Linked DNA regions of Oryctolagus cuniculus. The protein of the gene in region 1 interacts with the protein of each later gene in a pairwise test. Links are inferred from orthologs where the notes say so. Each region holds a gene or a part of one and is shown in the gene's direction. Other genes may lie near its edges.

Evidence for each region.
Region 2: the proteins of GABARAPL1 (region 1) and RETREG3 interact in binary tests that used the Homo sapiens proteins (3 or more experiments, as listed by UniProt). The link is inferred for Oryctolagus cuniculus from reciprocal best matches to the Homo sapiens genes GABARAPL1 and RETREG3.
Region 3: the proteins of GABARAPL1 (region 1) and SCYL3 interact in binary tests that used the Homo sapiens proteins (3 or more experiments, as listed by UniProt). The two-hybrid records come from large-scale screens. The link is inferred for Oryctolagus cuniculus from reciprocal best matches to the Homo sapiens genes GABARAPL1 and SCYL3.
Region 4: the proteins of GABARAPL1 (region 1) and ATG4A interact in binary tests that used the Homo sapiens proteins (3 or more experiments, as listed by UniProt). The two-hybrid records come from large-scale screens. The link is inferred for Oryctolagus cuniculus from reciprocal best matches to the Homo sapiens genes GABARAPL1 and ATG4A.
Region 5: the proteins of GABARAPL1 (region 1) and TAX1BP1 interact in binary tests that used the Homo sapiens proteins (3 or more experiments, as listed by UniProt). The link is inferred for Oryctolagus cuniculus from reciprocal best matches to the Homo sapiens genes GABARAPL1 and TAX1BP1.
Region 6: the proteins of GABARAPL1 (region 1) and KXD1 interact in binary tests that used the Homo sapiens proteins (3 or more experiments, as listed by UniProt). The two-hybrid records come from large-scale screens. The link is inferred for Oryctolagus cuniculus from reciprocal best matches to the Homo sapiens genes GABARAPL1 and KXD1.
Region 7: the proteins of GABARAPL1 (region 1) and OPRK1 interact in binary tests that used the Homo sapiens proteins (3 or more experiments, as listed by UniProt). The link is inferred for Oryctolagus cuniculus from reciprocal best matches to the Homo sapiens genes GABARAPL1 and OPRK1.

What each region holds. Positions count from the first base shown.
Region 1 is NC_091440.1:106,923,022-106,926,811, forward strand, and holds the end of GABARAPL1 (gamma-aminobutyric acid receptor-associated protein-like 1), read left to right. Parts: intron 1-753; coding exon 754-872; intron 873-1,961; coding exon 1,962-2,027; 3' UTR 2,028-3,247; downstream 3,248-3,790. UniProt on the Homo sapiens protein: Ubiquitin-like modifier that increases cell-surface expression of kappa-type opioid receptor through facilitating anterograde intracellular trafficking of the receptor. Involved in formation of autophagosomal vacuoles.
Region 2 is NC_091448.1:20,299,424-20,302,854, forward strand, and holds the end of RETREG3 (reticulophagy regulator 3), read left to right. Parts: intron 1-186; coding exon 187-319; intron 320-658; coding exon 659-1,113; 3' UTR 1,114-2,783; downstream 2,784-3,431. UniProt on the Homo sapiens protein: Endoplasmic reticulum (ER)-anchored autophagy regulator which exists in an inactive state under basal conditions but is activated following cellular stress.
Region 3 is NC_091438.1:27,729,004-27,732,793, reverse strand, and holds part of SCYL3 (protein-associating with the carboxyl-terminal domain of ezrin), read left to right. Parts: intron 1-1,651; coding exon 1,652-1,763; intron 1,764-3,790. UniProt on the Homo sapiens protein: May play a role in regulating cell adhesion/migration complexes in migrating cells.
Region 4 is NC_091453.1:85,192,577-85,196,949, reverse strand, and holds the start of ATG4A (cysteine protease ATG4A), read left to right. Parts: upstream 1-1,535; 5' UTR 1,536-1,632; coding exon 1,633-1,693; intron 1,694-4,373. UniProt on the Homo sapiens protein: Cysteine protease that plays a key role in autophagy by mediating both proteolytic activation and delipidation of ATG8 family proteins.
Region 5 is NC_091447.1:19,405,610-19,410,001, forward strand, and holds the end of TAX1BP1 (tax1-binding protein 1), read left to right. Parts: intron 1-2,099; coding exon 2,100-2,182; intron 2,183-3,082; coding exon 3,083-3,284; 3' UTR 3,285-3,685; downstream 3,686-4,392.
Region 6 is NC_091447.1:65,705,637-65,710,157, forward strand, and holds the start of KXD1 (kxDL motif-containing protein 1), read left to right. Parts: upstream 1-1,712; 5' UTR 1,713-1,842; intron 1,843-3,560; 5' UTR 3,561-3,584; coding exon 3,585-3,685; intron 3,686-4,408; coding exon 4,409-4,521.
Region 7 is NC_091437.1:78,042,526-78,046,315, reverse strand, and holds part of OPRK1 (kappa-type opioid receptor), read left to right. Parts: intron 1-2,741; coding exon 2,742-3,274; 3' UTR 3,275-3,790. UniProt on the Homo sapiens protein: G-protein coupled opioid receptor that functions as a receptor for endogenous alpha-neoendorphins and dynorphins, but has low affinity for beta-endorphins.

The sequences.
Region 1 (3,790 bases):
AGCTTTGCCATTGTGATGTCAGTTTGTTTGAGGAGAAGTACCAGCCTAGTTTCCTGGGAGGATCACAGTTTAGAGATTATCGGTGAGATGTCTCATCTCCTCAGGCCATGTGGTTTTGTAATAGGTTTTGTATTGAGTTTGGAATTATAAAGAACATATTTGATCTTCACCTTGATCCTTAATGGAATACCTACTGTGTTCAGGAGACACTGAAAGATTATAGATCTCCTTGCTCCAGAGTTAATAGATTTGAATATTGACTTTCTAGAACATTTTCAGAATTCTCAGGAGATGTAACACACTACTTCACACTTGGTGCCCCCACACTGAATTGAGTGACCACCCTAAGACTCCTGGGGTCTGGTAGACCTCTTTCCATCTCTGGTTTGTCTTGGGGGAAGTGGGGGTGGAAGGGTGTTACAGGTCAGCTTTAGACAATGATGGGATTGATTGGTCTGGCTATACATAGAACTCCTGTGCATCAGGTGAATCTTGGGGTGGATCTGCTAACAGTGGGTCTGAAATTAATGGGGGAAAGAAGGAGTAAACTCCGCTGTGTTGCGCTTGGGACTCTGCGGGCCTCTCGTGTTTCACTTTTTATTCCCAAGGCTGCAGGAGGATGGTTGGCTCTGCTCAGATGGTCTCCAAAGCTGATACTTACTCTAGAGGGTACAGGTGCAGGAGAATTTACCCTTCCTTTAATCCCTTGTTTTCTGCTCTTCGTGCCTTCATTTTCCTTCTTCCTTCATCCAGTTGGCCAGTTCTACTTCTTAATCCGGAAGAGGATCCACCTGAGACCTGAGGACGCCTTATTCTTCTTTGTCAACAACACCATCCCTCCCACTAGTGCCACCATGGGCCAGCTGTATGAGGTAATGCTCCCGGTCGCAGCAGTTCCGAGCAGTCTGAGTTGTTGATAACACTGGGAAAGTGGGGCAGAAGGTGTTACTTACCAGGATCCTCTTACAGATGGCAGTGTCAGGCTCTGGGTGATCAGACAGCACTTGTCCTGCAGGGAAGCAGTCCTCAGGACTAGATTTATTCCCGCTGACAAATCTCTCTTCAGTCTCGCCTGACTACTGTTGTAATGTCAGTGGTCTTTATTGAAATGACTGGAAGTGGTTGTTGATAACAAAGATTCCAAACATGGATTCACTGCAGTTCCTCTTTTTCTTGTTGGTGACAAATAGTGTGAAAGCAAACTATGCATTCAGATCTCAGTTCATTATTTTATTGCTATTTATTTGAGAAAACAAATGGTGTTAATTTTAGCCCCTTCTAGCTCTGAAACTAACCTTAAGCTCTAAACCGAAATTTTGGTTTAAGACAACCATATAGAGCCACACAAGGGTAGCTCCTTATTTCTGAGTTCAAAGCTAAGAACATGAAACAGATTCACCATTACCTGGGCACAGTGAATTGTAATTGAAATTGAAATGCAAATTAAGGCCAAGTCTTCATTTTGATTCATTTATCTTAAGAGACAAACTCAGGGAGAATAACTTACCTGACTTGGTTTAATTGGTAATCTAATGAGTAAGCTATAGTAAAGCACTTTCTCACGTTGGAAATTGAACGTAACATTATAACTGTTGTACTCCTTAAAGGATTTCACACGAGTGCTGCCTTCTCATGGCGCCTCAGTAATGACACAAACTCTAATGGGACTTCTATTCCATAGTGTATCTTCTCCATTAATATATATTCCTGTACATGTCTTGTGGTATGTTTCCCTTGCTAATATGAACTTTAAAAAATATTTTAAATTATTTATTTGAAAGGCAGAGTGACAGAATTAGAATGAGATCTTCTACCCACAGGTTTAACCACTTCTGCTTACTCTTTTAATAGAGGCTAGTGATGTTCTTCATACTTATTCAATAAGGCTGTGTGTGGCTCAGAAGCCTAGGAATAATGAAGATGAATAGGTGTCCTGAGCTGTCTTCTTTTCTCTTCCCCAGGACAACCATGAGGAAGACTATTTTCTGTATGTGGCCTACAGCGATGAGAGTGTCTATGGGAAATGAGTGTTGGAAGCCCAGCAGATGGGAGCACCTGGACTTGGGGGTAGGGGAGGGGTATGTGTGGGACTTGGGGGAAGAGCAGGAGGGCTCCCACCATGGAGGAGACAGAATGTGAAGACATCGAGAAATATTACACCACACACACTGTCATCATATTTTCACATGCTCAGTTGATATTTTTTGCTGCTTCCTCGGCCCAGGGAGAAAGCATGTCAGAACAGAGCTGTTGGATTGGCTGTGAGAAAGGATTGAGGATGGCATAACTTTACAGCTTTGCTGAGAATACTTGTGCAATTTCATAGGAGGGTCAGCGTATGGACCAGGTGGGGCCAGAGACAGTTGCGGTCCAACAGTGACTCCCTCCTCACCATTCTAGTTTTGACATTCACATGAGACCAAAAGGGGAGGAAGACAGGAATGTTTTATGACTTGTGGTGGTGGGCCGTGCCTTCTGGGGACCAAGCCCATTGTAACTGAAGCACTGTGGCCTTCCACGACTCCTCCCTTCCATCCAAGTTGTATTGTCACACACAAACATCTCAGTGCCACCCCAGAGGTGGCAGTAGACACAGGCACAGAAATTGAGATGGCACTCTCTTACCTTGAAAATAGGGGTTAGTCATGACGGTGGTTATGATTACGAGGTAGTTAGGCCAGCACTGAACTGGAACGGACTTGAGTGTTGAGCCTCTCTAACCTGCTGTCTCTCTGGTGCCCCTTATCCCACACCTTTCTTGGAACTCAATGGGCCCCAGGCTAAAACTACTCCTTTAGCATATCCTTTAGCGTTTCCCGTGTATAGGGACAGAGGTGTCTTAGGTATGGCAGAGGCAGGTGGATCTCCAACTCCCACTCATCCAGACTCCTTCCTCTCCTGCTGCTGTCCCTGCAGTCTCACACGCACAGGACGGTGCTGACGGTGGCCAGCTGCTTCCCTCCTTTGGTTTCCACGCTGCAGCTGCTTGTCACAAGAGTTCGGAGGGCTGACTTTCAGTCACTATCGGGGATTTTACTGATCTGTTTTCCCTGCGGGGGTTACGTGGGGTGGGGTGGGGCCCAGGAATTGCACTCAGACGTGACATTTCATTTCATCTCCGCTACTAGAAAGAGTCCTTCCTGTTGGGAAATCTGTGTGTCAGTTCTGTCAGCTGCAGGTTCTTGTATAACAAAGTCAATGCTGTCAGGCCTCAGAAATAAAGTAATTTGCTCACCTTCAGAATTTACATGGAGTTCATAAGTGTTGCTTTTATTCGGTGTACGTTAGAGTAGATGGCACGCGGACTCTGAGCAGAACGCTGGGAGCGAGGTGAGCGAGTGCTCACCTCCATGATCAGATGTACACGTGTCGTCTCAGCTCGTTGCTGACCTGGAGTTGCCCTCGAGGGTGAGTGGTAGAGTGGGGCAGTGTGCCCGGTGTGCTGGTGATGTGTGCTTTGGCAGAGCTGAAGGTGGAACTGCCTGCATCAGAGCATGGCGGGCGGGTCGGGGGTGTGCGGATTACAAATGAAGATGTCTGGGCCTTGTCCCAAACGTATGTGACTCAATCACAGCGTAGGCGTCTGGAGTTTTAATAGCACCTCCTGTGACTCTGCTGCACACTGAAGTTTGCCAGCCACTGCCTTTGCAGCAGGTTTTGCTGCTTATTCCAACCATACCTTATTCCCCCCATCCCCCACTACATCTTGGTCAGATGTGAAGCCACCATCTCCTCTAGCAGCAAACGAGCACCAAAGTAAAGCTCCTGGTGTGAGAACAAACTTGTTGTC
Region 2 (3,431 bases), on another chromosome or scaffold:
GGGTTTCCTTTGAGGAAGCAGCCTAAAAGAGGTCAAGATTTATACTAAAGCATCCATCTGTCCCTGGTTGGTCTGTGTCCTAGGGTAGCACTTGGGAACAGCGCACTCGTTCAGCTGTCCCTGCGGGCTGCTCCCGGTCCTAACGGCATCCTCTCCTCAGGCTTGTTGGTCTCTTCTTTTCCTAAGCTCGATGATTCTGCTGTTGCCAGGGAATTGGCCATCACAGACTCTGAGCACTCGGATGCCGAGGTCTCCTGTACAGACAATGGCACGTTCAATCTTTCAAGGGGCCAAACACCTCTAACAGAAGGCTCTGAAGGTGAGGGGAACCTTTGCCTTGGGCTGATAAAGGCTCTGACTGCTGCCTCGAAGCTTCCCTGGACAGAGGAGCCCAGTGCTACTGCTTCTCCCGTGTTCTGATCGCGTGGCCGAGCAGCCGGAGGGCTGCAGGTGCAGCCAGCATGGCATCACCCCTGCTTCTGTAGCCCCCAGTCCCTAAGTGGAGGGGGAAGCCAAGCAGCCCCGTGGATTTTGCTTTACTCTGAAATCCACAGTGGGAAAAGCAGTCGTGTGGGGTTTTTTGTTTTGTTTTTGTAGCGCTGGGGCACGGAGAGGGCCAGGTGGCTGCCATGTCTCAAACTCCCCTGTATTCTCCCAGAGCTGGATGGTCACAGTGATCCAGAGGAATCCTTTGCCAGAGACCTTCCCGACTTCCCTTCCATTAATGTGGACCCTGCTGGCCTGGATGACGAGGATGACACGAGCATTGGGATGCCCAGCTTGATGTACCGGTCCCCGCCAGGGGCCGAGGAGCCCCAGGCGCCCCCCGCCAGCCGGGATGAGGCTGCACTGCCAGAGCTCCTGCTTGGTGCCCTGCCTGTAGGATCCAACCTCACGAGCAGCCTTGCCAGTCTGGTCTCCCAGGGCATGATCCAGCTGGCCTTGTCAGGGGCCTCCCAGCCAGGTCCGTCTGGCCCTCCTCCCCGGAGGCCAAGAGGCTTCCTCCAGGCCCCCACTTCAGACCTGGACACTGATGCTGAGGGAGATGACTTTGAACTTCTGGACCAGTCGGAGCTGAATCAGATGGACCCTGCGAGTTCCAGGAGCCACTGAGACAGGACTCCCTTTGGAGGTCATATGGTTTAGTTTTCTTCTCCCCATCCCGCATAAGGTGACGGGGCAAAGGAATAACCCAGGTCCCATCCCCTGAATTATATTTGTATGCTGGGTGGCCTGGCTGATGCTCAGAGGCCTTCTCAGAGCAGACACTCACTCCCCTGTTAGCAGCTGGACGCCTGTTTGTGTGCTCAGTCACTGAAGAGTGTGCTCCCCCCAGGCAGGCGTCTGTCCATCACGATGGTACTTTGGGGAACAAGGTAGTCAGGGACATTGGTTCCCCTCTGAGGTGGTGCTGCTGTTTGCTTTCAGGAGTGGGTCCTCTGGGACCCTCGTGACAGAAGATCGCATCCCTTCCTTCCTCCCCTCATTGCTCCCCAGAGTCAGGCAGCAGCCAGAGAAGAGGCAGAGTTGTTGTCATCTTTCGTTGAAACACAGCTTGTTTTTTCAAGCCAGCTTGTCCTTTGGTTCTGCTGTGCAGACCTGCCCCCACTTCCCCCAGCCGTCCCCATTTCTGGATGCCTCAGTCCCAGGGCCTAATTCACTTGTGAAATTTAAGAAATGTGAATAGGATGTGGGGCTGGGCCTCCCCTACACCACGTAGGGCCACGGCGGTCAGCTGGCCAGGAGGGTTCGGGAGTGCCTCTGTATCCCGAGGGCTCGCTGAATCTTCTGGAGCTACATGGTTGTCTTGGTGCTGCTGACCCCTGGCTCTGTTTGACCATCAGCCTGAGCAGTGAGCAAAGCAATACCACACCCATTTCTTAGGGTCCTCCTCTGGAGAAGCAATAATTCCCCGGGGGACGGCGGAGTAGCACTTTACACACGGCTCCGTGGGTTCGCCCGGGAGCTACCAGCTCTTCGGCACCAGCTGTCCGTACTCTTTATTCTGCTCTTTTCCTTTATTTGTTGCTGCTTCCTCACTTGGCAGGGCCTCCTTTAAGGATGGCCGTTAGCAAGTCTGTGTCTGTAATCAGCAGAGACCCCTCTGAGGGGCATCCGTTCCGCAGCCCCTAGTGAAATCATGTGAAACAAAACCCAAAAACGATCATCGGTTGTAAACCTGTGCCAGTCTACAGCCTCTGCCTCCTCGGTCAGAGCTCAAGCCAAACTCTTCCATCCTCTTCCCCTCTGCATCAACCCTCTGCTGATCCTCAGGGACCACCCCGCCCCCCGCACTCCCATCCTTGAGTGAAGGATCTTGGACAGAGCTCATTTCCACGTGCTGCAGGTGGGGGTGTGCAAACGTTTGCCCTTGGTTAGTGGATGAGGTAGAGGCCAGGGCGTGCAAGTAGTTAACGGTGAGAAGGGAAGAGCTAGGTGCCTGCTTCTGGTCACTTACCTTCGTGTGAAGATTAAGGGGAGTGGCATCTCCCCACTCCGGGGTCCTCAGACAGGCTTTGGACACCTTCGCTCTTCCCAGGGCCTGGATGTCTTATAGGTGAGTGCTGGTGTGCAAAAAACGGGAAGTGGGGTGTTGTGTGTTTGCATGAGTGTGTGTAGCTTCAGGCCTTGGGAGTTAGCAAGAGGGAGGGAAGGAAAGAGAGCAAAACCTTTGGAAGGTGTTTCTTGTACCTGGGGATCCTGCTCTGAATCTCCTTAGTCCTCCACTGTGAACTGGGGGTGGGTGGGTGCTGGGGAATAAATCTTATATGAGAACAATCTTCTAAGAGACTGATGCTGAATGATGTCCCCCTGTGACAGCCTAAGCGGAAGCTCAGGTATGAGGGACCCACCTGCTCATCCCCCTTTTCCCTTGTGGTGGCCAGGCCAGGGCAGTCACAAGTATGAGGCCACGCCCTCCTTGGAGAGCGCAGACCTGAGAGTGGCTGGCATTCAGCCTGCAGCGCCATCCCCCCTTTGGGGGGAGACCAGCGCGGGTTTCACAGGCGCCATGCCCCTCCTCCGGATTCTGTGAGCGTCAAGGGCAGCTGCTCTTTGGCGTTCCGATGACCTCAGAAACTAGAAATGCTTATTTCGGGCTCTGTCCTACTGGCCACTGTGGTCAGGAGTGGAAAGCACCTGCCAGGTGCTGCCGTGGGATTGGGCCGACGAGAAACTTCTGCAAGCTTTGCGGCTTAGCCAGGCCCTTTCCACCCTGCCTTTCCTGGGCGCTCAAACCACGGCAGGTGTCGCGCGCCCCCTGTGGGCGGAGCGGGGTTACGGCGCTGACGCTTTCAATGGAGTTTTCCCAACCACCCTGCCACAAATACCAATTGTTCTTGTTTGACAAACGATGAAACCAACTGGCGGAAGAGCACTACCCCGCGGGACCGGGACACGTCCAGCCCAGCACGGGACTTTGTCCTCGAAGC
Region 3 (3,790 bases), on another chromosome or scaffold:
TCTAAAGACTATATTCTTTATTAAGCCTGCCAACACATAAAGACATGGCATTTGTATTAGCCAGGTTTTCCTAGCTACGACTAAAATACCTGAGAGGAGCTACTTAAGGAGGAAGAAAGTTGATTTGAATTTACAGTTTTAGAGGTTCACAATCCAAGGTCAGGTGGCCTCATTATTCTGGGTGTCTGATAAGGCAATGGATGGCAGAACACTTGTGAAGGGAGGATCACACGGTGAGCCAGGAAGCAGAGAGGGAGCAACTCTGCCTTCACATCTGTGTCTCTTTATAGCCACAGTTTGATCATAGGGGCTCTGCCCTAACAGCATAATCCAGTCTAATCACTTTTCAAGGCCTCAGCTTCAGACACCATAATACAATTAAGTTCTGTCCTTAATTCATTAACATAAGACTCTGAACATCAAGGCTTAACTCATGGGTCTTTGGGGAACACCCAAATTATTTGCCAAATGTCCTAACACCGTTAATGACTTGTATATAATGATCTGAATAACAGATTTTTTTTAAAATTTATTTTATTTGAAAGTCAGAGTTACACAGAGAGAGGAGAGGCAGAGAGAGAGAAAGAGGTCTTCCATCTGCTGGTTCACTTCCCAGTTGGCCGCAATGACTGAAGCTGGGCCAATCTGAAGCCAGGAGCTCCTTCTATGTCTCCCACGCAGCTGCAGGGGCTCAAGGACTTGGGCCATCTTCTACTGCTTTCCCAGGCCATAGCAGAGAGCTGGATCGGAAGTGGAGCAGCAGGGACTCAAACTGGTGCCCGTATGGGATGACGGCACTGCAGGTGGCAGCTTCACCTGCTGCACCACAGCGCCGGTCCCCTGAATAACAGATTAAGGTTCAACATCTTTTATTAATTTCTAAATCAAGACTTTTTTCAAAGCCTTTTGATTTTTTTTCCTCTTGCTGTAATTTACTCATTATTTTTTTCTTCCATCATCCTTTGAAACCTAGACTACAAAAGACTTGTTTTCTGTGTTCTCTAATTGCACGCTCAGCAGCCTGCTTCACTGTCTGGGGACCCCTCAAGTTTACTGGGACCTGCTGTTGAGTTTACTGAGGCACGTGTCCCATAATGCCCATTCCTGGCCTGTGTCTCCCATTGTGAAGCTTTGTGCTGTTGCAGTGCGGTTTCTTTCTAACAGGCTTATGGAGTGTTCATTCAGCTGTTAGCTGTAAATTTTCCCAGCTTAAGTACTTGAGAATTAAACTCTAAGGTAAACATATGTAATAAGCTAACTACTATGCATCTGTAATGGTGGCAAGTATGTACCATACTTGGTAGAATTTAAAACAAGAGTCATTTAAATAACTTTTATCTTCTGTGGCTGAGGAACCCTGGGTGAGAAAGGCCCTTAAATCTGCCACAGAGTAAGCCTTTGTTTGGCCTGAGCCGAGTTCAGCAGTGAGGAAGTCAGGACGTGGAAGGGGCGAGGTCGGACATGTTGGCAGGACAGCACTCTGCACCTGTCAGGGACTGGGCATAAGGCAAGCAGGAAGCTGTTCAGCAACAGCAGGGGCTTTGTTTGTTTGGGCTTTTACAGGTTGGTTTTTGCCCTCGTCAGTCTCCAGCTGTAGAGGCCCTGAAAAGAGGAGAAGGCATTGGAAACTAACTGTAGCTCTGGATTTCAGTTTCAGCGGATGTTCTCTCCAGCTTTCAACAGACCTTGCACTCAACTTTGCTGAATCCCATTCCACAGTGCCGGCCAGCGCTCTGCACCTTACTCTCCCATGACTTCTTCAGGTGAGAGCACCGAGTGTGGTGCTGTCCTGTTTTTATCATTAGGGGAGACTGACCAAGTGCACAGGGAAGTAGATGGAGCACTGACTGACTGTCCAGCTCCTGTCACAGATAGTGAGTTTTACAAATCCTTGGTTGTCCTGAAGGCTCTGGTTTAGAAATCGTAGCCCATTTCCTTAGGGCTTCTGATTGTGGAGAAGCCAGGTTGTGTCTGACGTGACTTAACTGAGAGTCAGTGAGCACGCCTCTCCTTTCTGGTGCTCTTGTATTAGTGTGAATTTGTTACTGTTGGATTTTTCTCTTGGTGGGAGAGGGAATGCTTATTTTTTCTCAGGCAGAGCATTTTTTTTCTTTGTTTAGTAATACATGATGGAAAAGCAAAGTTGATTTAGAGGGAGAGGCACAATATAACTTAATACTTTTCCGGATTCAGAGATGTTTTTGAACCTCTGTCCAAGGTTAGTTGTAATTACATGTACCTTATTTTTTATTTCCATGACTACAGAGCTTCTGCACAGGTCAGTTTCATGTTCAATTTTTACTAACAAAGCCAACCTTATATTAGTTTTGAAACTAAATATTCTTGTGTGTTTGCAGTTGGAAAAATCAGAGTCAAGAGTAAACATCATTCCTGACAGGGGAACGCTTAGGATAGTACTGGTGGGATGGCATATTATTAAATCAGTCATATTTGTAATTACTGGAGTTATTCTGGCATTTATGTGTCAAAGAAACTGTTTAGATCCTTCCCCCTTAGGCATTTTAAACATTATTTTAATTGACAAAAATTGTATGTTTATTGTCTTTTAACCAAGGTATTTTGTTTTCCTTTTGGATGACTTAATTTTTTCTCTTGATTTCTCATCATGGTGAATACTTGTAGATTTTCTCATCACTGCAAGTAGCTTGAGTCCTTTATTAAGAACTGTATTTTGGGGCTGGTGCTGTGATGTAGCGGGTAAAGCCACCGCCTGCAGTGCCGGTATCCCATATGGGCTCCAGTTTGAGTCCTGGCAGCCCCACTTCCTATCCAGCTCTTTGCTGTGGCCTGGGAAGGCAGTAGAAGATGGCCCAAGTGCTTGAGCCCCTGCACCCGCGTGGGAGACCCAGAAGAAGCTCCAGACTCCTGGCTTTGGATCGGCTTAGCTCTGGCTGTTGTGGCCAATTGGGCAGTGAACCAGCATGTGGAAGACCTCTCTCTCTGCCTCTGCTTCTCTCTGTGTGTAATTGACTTTCAAATAAATAAATAAATCTTAAAAAAAAAACCCAAATCACTGTATTTTAAGTAGAGCAAGGAGAAGAAAGCTGAAAACACACCAACCAGTGTTCCTCAAATTCCGTTCTCACACGTGAGGTGAGAACCTCTGTCAGAGATGACACAGCCGGTGTCCCCGTTGCTTAGGTTTAAGTTAAGGCATCTGTGTGTTTTCACAGCTGGAGCTGTGCTTCCGAGGTTGCACAGCCTGTGTGCTGAAGCGCGCAGTCTCGTGGTAGGGTGTGGGCAGTGCTCTCTCCGAGCAAAGCAGCCCAGAGCCTTTGGGACTCTGCTGGCTGGAACCTGGCCTCTCCTCCCGTACTGCCCCCTGCCTGTCTGAAGGAGTGGCTGGGTAACTTAGAGCAGGAGAAAGATTCCTGTGACTTGTACAGAAATCTACTTTCCCAACCCTCTTTAATAGTTTTTACTTCACCAAAGGAGAAAAGAGAATAGCAATCATTTTGTCATAGGAATGTCACTTCTCTCAAGATATTTCGTTTGATAGCATACTATTATAGCCAAAAATTTGGGAGATTATGACAGCTATTTATAAAGCATGTTAGCATGTGTGTGTTTAAGCTGGTGTCTTTTTCACAGAACTATTTAATACTCTTTTTTTATTAAAGATTTTATTTATTTGAGAGGTAGAGTGAGAGAGGGAGAGACAGAGAGAAAGGTCTTCTGTCCACTGGTTCACTCCCCAAATGGCTACAGCAGCCAGAGCTGGGCCCATCTGAAGTAGGAGCCAGGAGCCTCTTCTGGGTCTCCCACATGG
Region 4 (4,373 bases), on another chromosome or scaffold:
TGGGTCTGAGCCAGGCCTAAGCAAGGATCATTCTGGTCTCCCACAAGGGTGGCAGGGGCCCAAATACTTGGGCCATCTTTTGCTGCCTTCCCAGGCACTTTAGCAGGAAGCTTTTTGGAAGTGGAACAGCCAAAACTCAAACCAGTTCTCCAATATGGGATGCCAGCATCACAAACATCAGCTTAACCTGCTGTGCCACAACAACGGCCTGAGACTTTTTCTAAGTTGTTTCTAGCATGTCTGTAATTGTTTGTTGAGGTAATTTTAAGATGGATGATTTAAAATCCTTGTTGAATGTTTCCAGTATCTATATCATATCAGTGTTGGTATCTGTTGAAAGTCTTTTCTCATTCAAATCGAAATTTTTTTGGTTCTTAATATCATGAATGAGTGATTTTCACTGTGTCCTGGACTTTTTCTTTAAACTTTAAAAAAATTATTTGAAAGGCAGAGAGACAGAGGAAGATTTTAACATTTGTTGGTTTAATCTTTAAATGACTGCAATAGCTGGGGCTGGGCCAGACAGAAGCCAAGAACTAGGAATTAAATCTGGGTCTCCCATGTATTTGGCAGGGACCCAAATACTTGAACCCTGAAGCCCCCTAGGGTACACATTAGCAGGAAAGTAGAATCAGAAGTGGAGCCAGGACTTGAACCCAGACACTCTGATATGGAATGCAGACATTCCCAGTGGCATCTTAACCACTGTGCCAAATGCCCACCCCTGGATCCTAGACATTTTATGCTAAACATCTCTGGATCTTATTTCAATCTTCTGTTAGCAAACCTACTTTGAAACCACACTGGTGAGATAGTGAGAACTTGACTTCATTACTGCCAGGTGAGTATAGAGTCAAGGTTTCCCACTCACCATCCATTTATAACTGGGGTATGGATACCATTATTACTGGGTAAGGATTAAATTTCAGGATCTTCAGTAGGATTCCATTGATACCATCTTGGCTTGTAGAGATAGCTACGCTACCATCACATGCTTGAGGATGAAAATCCTAGATTCCCACTCAGATCATTCTGAAACCACTTATAGGAGAATAGGAAAGAGATGTGTGAATATTTAAAGCCAGTTGAAGGTGGAAGTCTAGGCTTCCCATTTGGTCTTTGCTGATAGGAGTGGGAGTGAGAGTGCAATTTTTCCTGTGATTTTTAGCTGGATTATTAAAGTTACTGTATAAACATCATCTGCCTTTATAGGTTGCCTCTTTCTGGTTCTTTTGGATAGAGATAGATGACTTTTTGAGGGACTTTTTGTTGTTGTGTTGCAGACTTATTGGCATTGTTGAGTTGCTGGCTTCTCCATCACCAGGTTCAGTATTTTTTTAAAGATTTATTTATTTATTTGAAAGTCAGAGTTACACAGAGAAAGAGAGGCAGAGAGGCAGAGAGAGAGAAAGAGAGAGAGAGAGAGAGAGGTCTTCCATCCACTGGTTCACTCCCCAATCAGCTATAATGGCTGGAGCTGTGCCGATCCGAAGCCAGGAGCCAGTAACTTCTTCCAGCTCTCCCACGTAGGTGCAGGGACCCAAGGACCTGGGCCATCTTCCAACATCTTCCCAGGCCATAGCAGAGAGCTGGATCGGAAGTGGAGCAGCCGGGTCTCGAACCGGCACCCATATGGGATGCCAGCACTGGAGACAGCAGCTTTACCTGCTACACCACAGCAACAGTGCCACAGGTTCAGTATTTATTACTCAAAAATAGAACTCAGGGAACTCACTGCCATGTTGTTACATGCCACGTCTTGAGTTTCCTTGCCACTAGACTGCCTTCTCTACCTGTGAGAGATTTATGATTTATTTATTTATTTATAAAAACTAGTGTTTTAGCTCTACTTAGTGGGAGGAATAGAGAAAAATGCATCTGCTCCACCTGTTCTTGGAACAAGGATGTATAACTGGTTACTCCAAGAAAACACGGATATTGTGTTGGTTTTAGCCATTCTCCCAGTAAAAAAATCTAGTTCAGAGCAAGTAAAATCACCTTGACCCCTACCTCCAGTCCCTTGACAACCTCTGGGGACCATTCCATTTTCTAGCTTTATGAATTTAACTACTTTACATACCTCATACACACAGCAAATGCAAATATGTATCACACTCTCTTTATCCATTCATCTATCAATGGATATTTGGGTCACTTTCATATCTTGACTATGGAGAATAGTGTTGCTATGAACAGAACTATGCAAATATGTCCTTGAGACCCTGTTTTGAATCTTTTTGGATGCCTATCCAGAAGTGAGATTATTATGTTAGTTCTACTTTTAATCATTGAGTAGCATCTACACTACATATACTATATGTTTTCCATAGTGCTTGAATCCTTTTACAGTCCCACCAACAATACACAGGGTTTTACATTTCTTCACATCCATGCTAACATTTGGTATTTTCTATAGCCATTCTAATGGATGTGAGGTGATATCTAATTGTGGTTTTGATTTGCATTTTTCTGGAGATCAGTGATACTGAGGGATTTTATGTGCTCATGACCATTTGTGAATCATCTTTAGACAACTGCCTGTTTAGTTCTTTGCTCATTTTTAATCAAGTTATTTGATTTTTTAATATTTGAGTTATAGGAGTACTTTATATATTCTGGGTGTTAACCCCTTACAGATATTTGATTTGCAAATATTTTCTCCCATTTTTGTAGGTAGTCTTTTGACTCTTTTGATTGCATTCTTTGATGCACAAAGTTTTTTTATGTTTAATGTAGTCCCATTTATCTTTTTTTGCTCTTATTGTCTGTGCTTTTGGGGTTATATCCAAAAAATCATTACCTAGTCCAGTGTCACTAAGCCTTTCCTATACATTTTATTCCAGTCATTTTGTAGTTTTAGGTCTTATGTTTAGGTCTTTAATCCATTTTGAGCTAGTTTTTGTATATATTGTATAATAAGGGTTTAACTTCATAATTTAGGATGTGGATATACAGTGTTCCAGCAGCGTTTATTGAAGAGATTGTCCTTTTTCCATTGAGTGATCCTGGTACTGCTGTGGAAGATCATTTTATCATATTGCTAGAGTTCATATTAGTTCTGTATATTCTATTGCATTGGTTGACTTGTCTGCTTTTGTACTGGTACCATATTGTTTTGATCACTGTAGCTTTGTGATATGTTTTGAACTCAGGATATTTGAATCCTTTGACTGTGTTCTCCTTCAAAGCTGTTTTACCTATTCAGGATCTCTTGAGATTCCATATGCACTTTAGAATCTATCTTTCTATTTCTGCAAAAAATATCATTGAGATTTTGATAGGCATTGCATTGAATCTGTATATTGCTTTGCATAGTATGGACATCTTAATAATATCAAGTCTTCCAATCTCTGAGGATAAGATATTTTTCCATTTATTTTTGTATTCTTGTCAGCAGTATTTTATAGTTTCCCATTGGTATACTTCAATATACTCAATAAAAAATTTGGTATAAATAAAAACATTTTGCTAAACCTTGCTTTTCCAATAAAATCAGGGTACAGATCTATAGATGTATTTTCCATTGGTGCTTCCAATTCTTTGCTGCTTGGCAAAATTACTGAATATGCCAAAGGTTTTACTTATTTAGGCAATGACGCCTTAGCTGGCTCCTTTATTCAATTGAATGGGACCAGGGTCTGCACCCCATCTTTCTCTTTATTCACTATCATTATTCCTTAAGAATAAGGTTTTTTAGTGACTCTGAACCTGAGGCCCTAGCAGGACTGCTTAAGGGTGGCAGTATACACCCTTGTCTTCTGTTTTTACGTTTTATTTATTTGAAAGTTAAAAATAGAGATAGAGACAGACATAAGAGACACAGAGAGAGAGACCTCCCCAAGCACCTGCATCAGCTGGGGTCTGGACCAGGCCAAAGCCAGGAGCTGGGACTTCCATCCAGGTCTCCCACATGGGTGGCAGGGATCCAGGAAGTTGAGTCATCACCTGATGCCTCCCAAGATGTGCATTATCAGGAAGCTAGAATTGGAAGCACAACCAGTACTTGAACCTAGGTACTGTGATATGGGATGTAGGCATCTCAAGTGATGTCTTAACTCCTATGCCCAATGTCCCTCCTTCTTCTTACTTATTTTTTAAAACTTTTATTTAATAAATATAAATTTCAGAAGTATAACTTTCCTCCTGACTTCTTAAACAGGGTATATGAAGTATAATAATTTGATCTTTTTGACTAAGTATCATTTAGTATTAGGACTATCAATTGTTATGTTTTCCTATTAGTATAGTGAAATAGGACTTATTGAAATGTTTTTTAAAGAAGACTCATTTTTTTTTAAAAAAAACTTTATTTTATTTATTTGGAAGTCAGAGTTATAGACACACAGAGAGAGAGACAAAGAGATCTTCCATCT
Region 5 (4,392 bases), on another chromosome or scaffold:
GATTACTTGGTATACTCTTTTGGTATCTCTGCCCATGACCCAGATGACTACTGCATTAATAGCAGCTCTGGGGTGAGCCCAAGCACCCACCATCATCAGGGTTTTCATCACTGCCTGCTGTTCTCATGTGCTGTTACTTCATGACATGAAAGTAGCTAATAACTGCCCTGAGACGAAAATAAAGGGCCAATTTTGATGATGTGGCTGCCTTTGGCATTAAATGAGATTGTTTGGCTGTGGATGTAACTTGTACAGATTTCTTAAGAATTGCCCACCAGAATGCAGGTACAGGAATCTAAATCCCTGTTTTCTGATTAAAACTCAGATCCCCAGCTTTTTAGAAGTCTCACTTGACGACCTGTTAGTCAGATATTCAATTTTGAGCTTTATTCTACAACAGGGTTTTGAAGCTTGTGGTTTGGTGCATTGCTTTGCTTTAACATGTGTTTTATTTGTGATTGTGTAGTAGAGGTATCCTGTCAAAGGGACTTTATTGCAAATTATAGCTGAGAATAATTGGAATAACTGCAACCTTAAGATGTCTGTGGAAGCCGTCACTCAGTGTATGGAATGATAAAAACTCAGTTACTTACACATAGAGGTTTGAAAAGTATTCCACTCAGTACTTTTTTTTTTTTTGACAGGCAGAGTGGACAGTGAGAGAGAGACAGAGAGAAAGGTCTTCCTTTGCCGTTGGTTCACCCTCCAATGGCCGCCGCAGCCAGCGCGCTGCGGCCGGCGCACCGCGCTGATCCGATGGCAGGAGCCAGGAGCTAGGTGCTTTTCCTGGTCTCCCATGGGGTGCATGGCCCAAGCACCTGGGCCATCCTCCACTGCACTCCCTGGCCACAGCAGAGGGCTGGCCTGGAAGAGGGGCAACCGGGACAGAATCCGGCGCCCCGACCGGGACTAGAACCCGCTAGGCGGAGGATTAGCCTAGTGAGCCGCGGCGCCGGCTTCCACTCAGTACTTTTTATAGTCATCTGTCCTTATCCAAGTTTTTGCTTTTCATAGTGTTTTTTTTTTTTTTTTTTTTTTTTTTTTGAAAGAATTAGAGAGGTAGAGACAGAGAGGTCTTTTTTTTAAAAAAATTTTTTTTCATTTGACAGGTAGAGTTATAGACAGTGAGAGAGAGAGAGAAAGGTCTTCCTTCTGTTGGTTCACCTCCCAAATGGCCGCTACGGCTGGTGCTGCACCAATCCGAAGCCAGGAGCCAGGAGCTTCCTCCTGGTCTCCTATGCGGGTGCAGGGGCTCAAGCACTTGGGCCATCCTCCACTGCCTTCCCGGGCCACAGCAGAGAGCTGGACTGGAAGAGGAGCAATCGGGACTAGAACCCAGAGCCCACATGGGATGCCGGCGCCTCAGGTGGAGGATTAACCAAGTGAGCCATGGAGCTGGCCCCTGCTTTCCATAGTTTCATAACTCTGTTAGCCAAAGCTTGAAAATATTGAAGATTCCAGAAATGATTCCTACGTTTTAGTTTGCATGCTGTTCTGAAGAGTGTGATGAAACCTTATCCATCATATCCACACTGTGTGTGACCCATGATTGTTGCACTAATGCAGTGCTTGTGTTCAAGGAACCCTTATTTACTGAGTAACAGCCCTAAAGAGCCACAGGAGTGATTCTGGCAGTCCAGACATGCAAAAGAGAAGCTGCCAAGTGCTTCCTTGAGTGAAAAGGTGAAGGTACCGAAAGATACTTTGACACCTCTAGAACACTAGACATTTACGTACACTTCTTTATAGTACATTAAAATCATTCCACTTTATTATTAGGTATGGTTAATCTCTTTCTCTGCCTGTTTTATAAATTTTATCCTTGGTATGTATGTATAAGAAAAATCATAGCAGTTTTCCAAAAATCTTGGAATATATCCCCTGTGAATAAGGTGGGGGGCTCCTGTATTTCATATGGTCAGAGTCTTGGTTTGGCCTAGAGAAATACTCTGTAAAACTCATTTTCAAACATGTCTGTGTGAAAGTTTAACTAAATAATAGAAAGTATCTTCAATTGTAATCTTTCTTAAGGGACTGAATTAAGGAATCTGTGTTTGGTTTCACTTTTCTCAAAAGTTGCAAAATTGTTCTTTGCCTAGGAAGATGAGAATACGCCCAGTGCTCCTGATCCTTCAAGTCAGCATGTACGTGGGCACGCAGCGGGCTTTTGTTTTGATTCCAGGTAATTTTTTTTTTCCTTTGTAGAATTTAAATAGTTTATATAGGCTAATGGCTGTCAAAGTGTGGTTCTTGGTCCTTTTTTTTTAAAGATTGATTTATTTATTTTGAAAGTCAGAGTTACAGAGAGGGGGAGAGGCAGAGACAGAGAGAGAAGTCTTCCATCCACTGGTTCTCTCCCCAGTTGTCCACAAAGGCCAGAGCTGCACCAGTCTGAAGCCAGGAGCATCTTCTGGGTCCCCCACATGGGTGCAGGGGCCGAAGCACTTAGGCCATCTTCTATTGCTTTCCCAGGCCATAGCAGAGAGCTGGATGGGAAGTAGAGCAGCTGGGTCTTGAACCGGCTCCCATATGGGATGCTGGGACTCTAGGCAGCAGCTTTGCCCGCTGTGCCACAGTGCCAGCCCCCTGGTCCTTGTTACAAGCTGCAAATCCTTAGGGCCCAATCAGCTGAACCAGAAGGTCCGGATAAAGTGCCCAGAAGTGTGTGTAGCAGGCCTCTGGCTGATTCCGATGCCTGCAGCCATTGCAGAGTGTGTACCATGGAAACTTGCAGCTGTCAGGCCATGGGGCGCTGCAGGGGAACTGTGAGCTGCAGGCCTCCTCTCAGCTTCACAAGGAGTGCTGCTTTTAGTTAGGGACTGAGTTTTCGGCACTAAGACTTGTTTCACATAATGCAGTTGGATTTGGGGTTTTTTCCATGAAGAAAAGGATTTTGTTAATGTAGTAAAACTGAATTTAGAGGTTTTACAAATGGGGAGCACAATTATCTATTGCAAGCAGGGTGGTTTCTGGAATAGATACTTTCATGGTAGATTGTTTAGTATGAATATGTGCTAACAATAAGTATAACCTTGTCATATATTACTGTTATATATAATTTTCATTTTCCTTTTTCTTCAAGCTTTGATGTTCATAAGAAGTGCCCCCTCTGTGAATTAATGTTCCCTCCCAACTATGATCAGAGCAAATTTGAAGAGCATGTTGAAAGTCACTGGAAAGTGTGCCCAATGTGCAGCGAGCAGTTCCCTCCCGACTACGACCAGCAGGGGTTTGAAAGGCATGTTCAGACTCATTTTGATCAGAATGTTCTAAATTTTGATTAGAAACATTTTATTATGAGTTAACAGTTTAGAAATTGAAAAAAAAATCACCTCAAGTAATAGACCACTAGGGAGACCACATACGCTCTGCTGTACTTTTCTGACCAAGAGCTACTTTAAGTTTGGTGATATTAGTGTCAGGGTCAATCTTTGGCTTATCAATAAACTTAATTTTAACCTCTGTTAATCTTACCTGCTTTAAGAAAACAAGTTCTTGTGTGTTTATATATTTATTCCCATTTGCAAAATTGTATGAGTAAAGAATACAGGAATTCTTTTAATGTTATTGCACTGAAAAATGTTACTAGTAAGCTAGATTATTTAGAAGAATATTTACAAGTTTGTCGGCCTTGTTGATTGAGCATGACTACTGAATATTATGTAATAAAGAGCATTGATCATAAGTTCTGTGAAGTAATTCTTTGTAATGCAGCCCATGAAATGACAGTCTTAAGTGGAAGTGCATGTGGAATGAGATGACATACTTGCAGATATCCTTTTATATATGAAATGTTGGTTTTAGGAATTACTGGAAAGCGTATTTTACTAATTTTATGACAATCATCTGAATGATTTTTAAATCATCTTGAAGTTGTATTTTAACAGGAAAATGGAACAAGATGTGTAAGTATAATTGTTTTTATTGTTATTAATATAACATTGGTGTTGGCATAAAATAACATTGGTGTTGGCATAAAATCACATAATGTGTATCAGTATCTTTTTCACATTTTCCTGGTGAGAATATAAATAACATTTAGTAAATGATTAAAAATACAGTGGGTAAACTCAGCCTGTTTCTCTAGTGACCTGTTTGCTGTACAGCACTGAGAGGTTTGCTGTTCCACACGCCGAGTTGTTAGTTAGTAATACACACTGTGCTGACCTGAAGTACCCTTTCAGTATGACAGTACTGTCATCAGTGAAATGAGACTATTCATCCTAGTAACGTAGAATTTATTTTAAAAAATAGTTTTTGGCTCCAAGCTTTTGATAGGTAATTTGTTATTGATAAAAAAGTAAGGCAGTTTAATACACACACACACACACACACACACACACATATATATATAAAGGAATAAAGTCCTCTAAATGTTGCAAAACAATAGGA
Region 6 (4,521 bases), on another chromosome or scaffold:
AGTGGAGCAGCCGGGACTCGAACCCGTGCCTACATGGGATGCTGGCACCACGTTGGCCTTCTTTAGGGACGAATGGGGGTATCTGGTACGACTCCCGAGAGCTTCCTGTATGGCCAGGGAAACGGAGGCATGGCGTAGCTTGTTCAAGGTCGCGGCCATGGAGGGCAACGTGGGCCAGGTCCCCTCCCTGGCCAGGGTGGCCAGTGGCTGAGCCCACCCGGGGACACGCGTGGAGCAAACGCAACCAAAACAGGGCGGAGGAGGGGGCTGCGAGTGCCCTCCCATGGGTCTCTCCTGCTGGACGGGGCGGCCCTGCGCTCACCACCCTCTCCCGTAAACACACAGGACACCAGGACATTTCGTCTCCAGTCCTCGGGGCCCCCAAGTCCCTCTGTCCCTACCCGTCTGGGGCTCCCAGAAACGTGCCCCGGCCTCTGGCAGGGCCCCCTGCGGCAGCCTGCACACGGCCATGGATCGAGCAGCTTCCCCCAGCAGGGCCCCTCTCTCAGCTCTTGGCCGCCGCGGGCTCACCGAGCCCCCCCCCCCTTACAACGGTCAAGCCCACACCGTGTGGTTTCCCATCATCGTTTCTTACAGCCCCAAGTCACGTCCACTGCCTGCAAAACTCCTACTCCAACCTCAAAACCCCAGCTAGATGGGGTTTGCCTCCCCGCAACCTCCCTTGCTCCCAAAACGAGCGCTCACAACGGCTCAGGTTCCTGCGCACGGAGGGTCCTTCCTATTCTTTACAAACACAGAAGCCCCGCGAGGCTGGGGGCGTCTGCCTCTGACTCTATCTCCTTTTTCCTTCCAGGCCTAAGCAGGACCTAAGTGGTCCCTGGGGTCCCAGAACACGGGCCACACCTGGCGGGAGGGAAAGTCTTTAAAAACTGTCAAACTCCGTAAGAATCCTGGTCCCCGGGGCTTTTCAGCAGAGGCGGCAGTAACAACGTAGCCAAGACGCCCGCTGGGAGCCTGGATCCCAGATCTGAGAGCCGGGGTCTGCGACCCAGCTTCTTCCCACCGGTGCGCACGAGCCAGGAGCTCCATCCGGGTCTCCCACGCAGGTGCAGGGGCCCAGCACCTGAGCCATCCTCCGCTGCTTTCCCAGGCCATAGCAGGGAGCTGGACCGGAAGTGGAGCAGCCGGGACTCGAACCGGGGCCCATAGGGAATGCCAGCGCTGCAGGAGGCGGCTTTACCCGCTATGCCACAGCGCCGGCCCCCCAAAAATTCTAAAAATTATTTTAAAAAATCCTTGTTGGGGGGCCGCGTTGTGGCGCCCGCACCCCAGGCGGCGGCGCTGGCTTCAGTCTCTGCAGCTCGGGACCGGTCCAGCCCCGGGCTGAGGGCCTGGGGGCAGCATGCCGGGCCCTGCACCTGCGCGGGAGATCCGGATGGAGCTCCCGGCTGCGGCCTGGCCCAGTGTCCATCTGGGGAGTGACCAGCGGATGGAAAACCTCTCTCTCTCTGCCTCTGAAGTACATAAAAAAAATCTTAGGAAAAAGTTCTTAAATGCTAAGATCATTCAAAGCGACGGGAGCCTGGGAGCTCTCACGGACTGGGGGAGACTGCGGACATCAGCCCTGGACATACCTTCCGACCTAACCCCTTCCGGCGGCTCAGCCGCGCGGACTGCGCAGGCGCACGAGAGCCCGTTTGATTGGACGTGGGCTGTGACGCAGGGCGAGCGAGCCCGCCTCTTCCTGCCGAGCCCCCACCACGCACGCGCGCACGCACGTCGGCCCCAGAGTGCGCCGCCGCCGCGAGCGCCCGTGCGTGGTGACGTCGCGGCGGCGCGGACGCCATCCCGGAAGCGCGAGCGAGGCTGCCAGATGTGCAGGTGCCGCCGCCGCCTCCGGGGCTGAGCTTGGGGCGGGGCGGGGAGCGGGACGCCGGGGCGGCGGGGAGCCGGGCCGGGTCGGGCGCCGTCCCCGGGCTGCCCGGGGTGGGGCGCGCCGTGCGGGGCGCGGGCGTTGGGGCCACCAGCGTTCCGACGGTGCGGTGTGACCTGGAGTTGGGCGTTCACCTGCCGGTGCCTCAGTTTCCCCGCTTCGTGTGGGCGGAGCCTGCGGGTGTAGACCCAAGCCCCGCCCCACCCGGGCTGTCTTTACCGGGGCGCGGAGTGGGGAGTTCAGCCGACGGTGTGGGCGACCCTCGCAGGGGTGGCTGGGAATTCAGTGCGACGTTGTGCAGTTAGCTCCGCCTCTTGCAGTCACGTGGGATGCCCTCAACAGGCTGGACCCCGTGGGGAAACACCTGCTCCAAGCTCCGCCCACAATCCACCTTGCCTTCACCGCCCCCCATTCCCATTTCCTGGATGAGAAAACTGATCCCTCCCTCCCCCACTTGAAACCGGGGCCCTTGCTGCGTGAGTTCCCTTTGGGATGTGCAGCCCGGAAGGCTTCCTGAGAGAGGCAGCCAGCGACAGGCCCGGGGTTGGAGCCTCTGCCCTGATCCCCGGACAGCGCGTGGGTGGCCCTGCTCTGCAGACAGTCCTAGCGCGTGTCCAGGGGCGGCGAGCCACCTGCCGGGGTCAGGGCGCGAGCAGTCCTGGCTCCCGTGATGTTTTGGATAAAAAGAATTCCTGGCTAACAGTGGCAAATAAGGCGATTTCATGGGGAAAAAATTGTTTTTATCAGCTGTCGTAGGAAGCAGCTGTCCCCCCGCCGTGGGCGGGGCCCGTCAGACGCACGTGCACCTGGGTGCTGCCCAGGGCCGCGGCCGCTCGGACCCTGGCCTGGGCTCGGGGGCTGTGTGACCGCCGAGCGCAGTGAGCGTGTGCCACATACAGTAGGCGCTCAGTAGGTGGATGCTGTGGGCTCCGAGTCTCGGCCAGCTGTAAATGGGGCTGTCTGTCATCTCGCGCGTGGGCCTGGCGGCCAAGCTATGCCAAGGTTCCAGATTTTTCCTGACCCTCCCACCCCCGCCCGCCGCTGCTGGGCCTCGCATGGTCTGGGAGGCCCAGCCCACTGGGGTGGGGTCCTTCGTGTGCCCGTGAGAGCGGGCACTGTCCAGGACGTCTGGGTCGTGGGGCTCCCAGTGCCTGGGACTTGCTAACAACAGGCGAACCCCGTCAGAGCCGGGTCTGCAGGGGCCGGCCCAGAGACCCCGGCGGGAGGGAGAAGGCGGCGGCGGCTTCCCTCCCCAAATGGCCACAATGGTCAGGGCTGGGCCAGGAGCCAGGAGCTCCATCCGGGTCTCCCACGCAGGTGCAGGGCCTAAGCACTTGGGTCATCTTCCGCCGCTTTCCCAGGCCACAGAGAGAGCTGGATTGGAAGTGGAGCAGCCGGGACTCGAACTGGCACCCACATGGGATGCGGTTGTCACACGTGGAGCCCTAACCCCTTGCTCCACGCCGCAGACCCCGCCCCCCCGTGGGGGCGACCCGATGAGGCAGCCTTGCCGCACGTGTTCTGTGGGGGCAGCAGGTGCAGAGGCGGGGGTGGGGGCTGGGAGGCAGCAGCAGCAGCTCCGTGCAGGCGCCCGGGACCCCGGGAAGCCGTACCGATCCAGAGCGCGCCGGAGCCCCCTGCAGTCTGTGTTTCCCGCCTGCTCCAGGCCGCGGAGGAGGAGGAGGAGGACATGGACGCCCCCGACTCGGCCTCCGGGGTCTTCTGCAGCCGCGTCCTGAGCATGGTGAACGCCGAGGACGTCAACGCCATCATCCTGGCCCAGAAGAACATGTGAGCCCCGGCTGGGCGGGGCGGGGCGGGGCGGGGCGGGAGCCCACTCCGGCCGCGCTCCTGATGCAAACGCAGGGAGCTGGATCTGCCTGCTGGCTCCCCTGGCCTCCTCCCTGGCCGGGCTCCTGGGCGGGGAGGCGGGGGGACGGCGGGACCAGAGGCACAGAGCTGTGTGGCGAGCCCCCCGGGGTCTCTTGGGGAGGGCGGCGGGACATACCTGCCTCCCACAGGCGGGCTCGGAGCCTGCCACAGCCTCACCCCGATTCCAGCTGCCTTGCTGGGGAGAGGAGGACCGGTGCATCCTGGGAGTGATTTATTTTCGTTCATTTGAAAGGCAGAGTGACAGCCAGAGGGGGAGAGGAGGTCTTCCCAGGGTGGTGGAGACCCATGCACGTGGGCCATCTTCCCCTGCCTTCCCAGGCCACAGCGGAGAGCTGGATGGGAAGTGGAGCAGCTGGGACTCGACCCGGCGCCCACACGGGATGCTGGCACTGCAGGCGGCCGCTTTACCCGCCACGCCACAGCGCTGGCTGCAGACTTGACCCTGGGGAAGCTCCCAGACGGGGCGTAGACAAAACAGGACACAGACCCCCACGGCGCCACATGCCAGGGCTGGGCCAGAGCACCCTGAAGCTGCCAGGGCCCCAGGGGCAGGCAGCGCCGTCACGGGACACCCTTACTGGGGCGCTGAGGACTGAATAGGAGCCTTCTCTCTGGCGCCAGGCTGGACCGCTTCGAGAAGACCAACGAGATGCTGCTCAACTTTAACCAGCTGTCCAGCGGCCGCCTGCAGCAGATGGGCGAGCGCTTCCTGCAGCACACGCGCGCGCTGGGCG
Region 7 (3,790 bases), on another chromosome or scaffold:
GGGCTGGCACTAAAATCATAGCTTATTTTTCATGATGCATGTTTTTCTTTTCTTTGTTTTTGACAGATAGAGTTAGACAGTGAGAGAGAGAGAGACAGAGAGAAAGGTCTTGCTTCCATTGGTTCACCCCCGCAAATGGCCGCTATGGCCAACGCCACGCTGATCTGAAGCCAGGAGCCAGGTGCTTCCTCCTGGTCTCCCATGCTTGTGCAGGGGCCCAAGCACTTGGGCCATCCTCCACTGCCCTCCCGGGCCACAGCAGAGAGCTGCCCTGGAAGAGGAGCAACCAACACTAGAACCTGGTGCCCATATGGGATGCTGGTGCTACAGGCGAAGTAACCAAGTGAGCCACGGCGCCGGCCGATGCATGGTTTTTATAGACAAATTTTTAGAGCAGCTTTAGGTTCATGGCAAAGTTGGATAGAAAGTATAGAGTTTCCCTATAGCTCCCACTCTCACACATGCACAGTCTCCATGACTATCAATGTCTCCCACCAGAGTAGGACATTTATTAAAACTGATGAATGACAATGACACATTATCACCCAGAGTTTATACTGGGGTTCACTTTTGGGGCTATACATTCTGTGGGTTTGTACACATGTATGATGACACGTATCCTTTTCCTAAAAAAATCCCCTTCCTTCCTTCCTTCCTTCCTTCCTTCCTTCCTTCCTTCCTTCCTTCCTTCCTTCCTTCCTTCCTTCCTTCCTTCTTTTCTTTCTCTTTCTTTCTTTCTTTCTTTCTTTCTTTCTTTCTTTCTTTCTTTCTTTCTTTCTTTCTTTCTTTCTTTCTTTCTTTCTTATTAATTAATTCATTTGAAACACAAAGAGGAAGAGACAGGGAACTCCTGTATATTGGTTCATTCCCCCAAATGCCTGCAGCAGCTGTGACTGGATCAGGCTAAAGCCAGGAGCCAGAACCTCAATCCTGCTCTCATATAGGTGACAAGTACCCAACTGTCTGAGCCATTACCTGCTGCCTCCCAGGATATGCATTAGCAGAAGATAGAATCAGGATCAGTCAAGACTCAACCCAGGCACTCCAATATGTGATACTGGTGTTCCAAGCAGCATTTTAACCTTAGACCAAATCTCCACCTCTTGTATCCTTTGTTTTTTAATGTGGCATGATCTGTTTCTTTTGAAACTATTAAATGAGTTTCCAGCAGAGCCACAGCAGATAATAAGCTATAATATTTGGTAACTTTCAAGAAATGCCCAACTTTCTCTATCAGATAAACATTTTCAAATATGATTAATCACATGCAGGATTTGTTTCCTCATACCTACGAAAAATGAAAACAAACTGCATGGAACTCTTTAGAGACCTAGGTGTTTGTGTGTAACAACTCCAATTGGAGAGGAGATGCTGCATATCCACTGTGAGCATGAGGGGAATGGGCTGAAGAATAAAGATGATCGTCCTAGGACAAATGAAGAGCTGATTTTTACATTTCATATTTCACTGGTAGACTTAATCACTACATTCCTTCTAATCATTGTCAGAAAATGACATCTTAGAGTAAATGGATTTCAATTATGCTTTTGAAAGAGGAAATGAAGATGTGGCTTTTCCAGGAAGGAGTCGTTATAGATAAATGTGTGCAGATGCAATGGGAGAAAAGCTCCACCAGTTTGGGAAGAAGATTAATTTGTGCAGCAAAACAGAGAGGAAAATGGGAGGAAATTAAAGTGGACTTATTTTCCATTGCAAATATTACACTCAAGTGTTGCTTATCACTATTTCATCCATGAGGAAGGACCAGGACAAGGAGAGTTCTGCCTGCTCTGTAATTCTTGATTTCTCAGAAACAGGAGAAAGTGTGGACTGCTTTGTGCTTGGGAACAGTGAGCTTCTATGCAAATAGTTTAAAAGGTACTGATCCTGAGACCCTGCTCTTTCTAATATGAAGGTTCCTACAAAATAATACTACCCAGCAAACAGAAGAAGAGCAAATGAAACTATTTCCTAAGTATCATATAAAGGTATTTATTTTATCTGAATTATGTATTAATGTTACCATGATGAAAAATATGTCTGATTTACTCCGAAATCTTACAATGATGATTCTTTTTTTCCAGTTCTCTGTCATGCTTCATTTTCCCTCGTCTCCTCCTTTACTTTTTTCTCCTCCTTCTCTTCCAGAAGTGTTACCCATATTTCAGTAATGCCCTTCATTACAGTACATGCAGTTGGTTCCATTAAATCACAACACTTGGGTCATATTTAGACAAATTTCATATCAGTTTTATTTACCTGAATAAAACAATTAATGTTTGCTAGACAAGTTGGCTGCTTTTAAACTCAATGGCAAGGTTTAAATATTTAGTCATTTATTACAAATAAACATTAGCTTTTGTTGCCAGTGCATTAGGTCTTAGAGAACTGTTAATAAATGGAAACATTTTATAAGTAAGTGTCATGCAGTAAATTAACAATTTAGCTCTTTTGAAAGCCATCAGTAGATAAGCAATGTTGCTGTATAATCTTATTTATTCTACAGCATCCTGTGTATTAATGTAAGTGGCGATTTGCTAGCTTCAGTGTTCTGTGCACACAGATAGCCTGGGTAATACAATATGGATATGCAGTTGTTTCTAATTTGATGATGTCCATCAGGTAATATCATCTCATTCTTATTGGACCTTTGCAATCGCAGTGATTAAAATTCACATTCAGAACACTCTGCATCTATGGGAACAGCAATAACAAACTTTGTTGGTTTTGTTTTCCTGTAGATGTGGATGTTATCGAATGCTCCTTGCAGTTCCCGGATGATGACTACTCTTGGTGGGACCTGTTCATGAAGATCTGCGTCTTTGTCTTTGCATTTGTGATCCCCGTGCTCATCATCATCATCTGCTACACCCTCATGATCCTGCGCCTGAAGAGTGTACGGCTCCTTTCTGGCTCCCGAGAGAAGGATCGTAACCTGCGCCGGATCACCAGGCTTGTTCTGGTGGTGGTGGCAGTCTTTATCATCTGCTGGACCCCTATCCACATTTTCATCCTTGTGGAGGCACTGGGCAGCACCTCCCACAGTACGGCTGCTCTCTCCAGCTACTACTTCTGCATTGCATTGGGCTACACCAACAGCAGCCTCAATCCCATCCTCTATGCCTTTCTTGATGAAAACTTCAAGCGGTGCTTCAGAGACTTCTGCTTCCCCATTAAGATGAGGATGGAACGACAGAGCACCAGCAGAGTCAGAAACACCATCCAGGATCCTGCTTACATGAGGGATGTTGATGGGATGAACAAACCAGTATGACTAGTCGTGGAGATGTCTTCTTACCTTTCTTCTGGCAGAGAAGAGTTCAATGATTTGGGTGTCACCCAGATAACTACAGCAGTCTGAGATGGAGAGGAAGAATTTTTTAACAAACTTTTAGAAACCTCAAGGTCTAAGTTGTAAGCTGCAGGCTGCATTAAGAACCCAGGTCATTGCGGGCATCAAGCAGTAGAGAGGAAGTTCAAAAGTCTGGGAAGCAAATGCGCTCTTCTCTAGGGCAGGGAAGCAAGACCGACTCCAAGTTTCTTTGGTGAACCATGAAATGGGTCTTTACATTCTGGGTACCTAGATTTAGTTCAGCACTCATCTGCTGTGGCCTTCCTATGCAATGTAGTTACAAAGCTCTGTTTAAGAAGAAAGGAAGAGAAAAAAAGTAAAGTGTTGTTTCAGAACTTAGTGAACATCCAATCCAGATATCTGATATTGACAGCAACAATCTAAAAAAAAAAAAGAAATAAAAAGAACCTCTTCTAGGGCTTATGCTCAGCTTGCTTT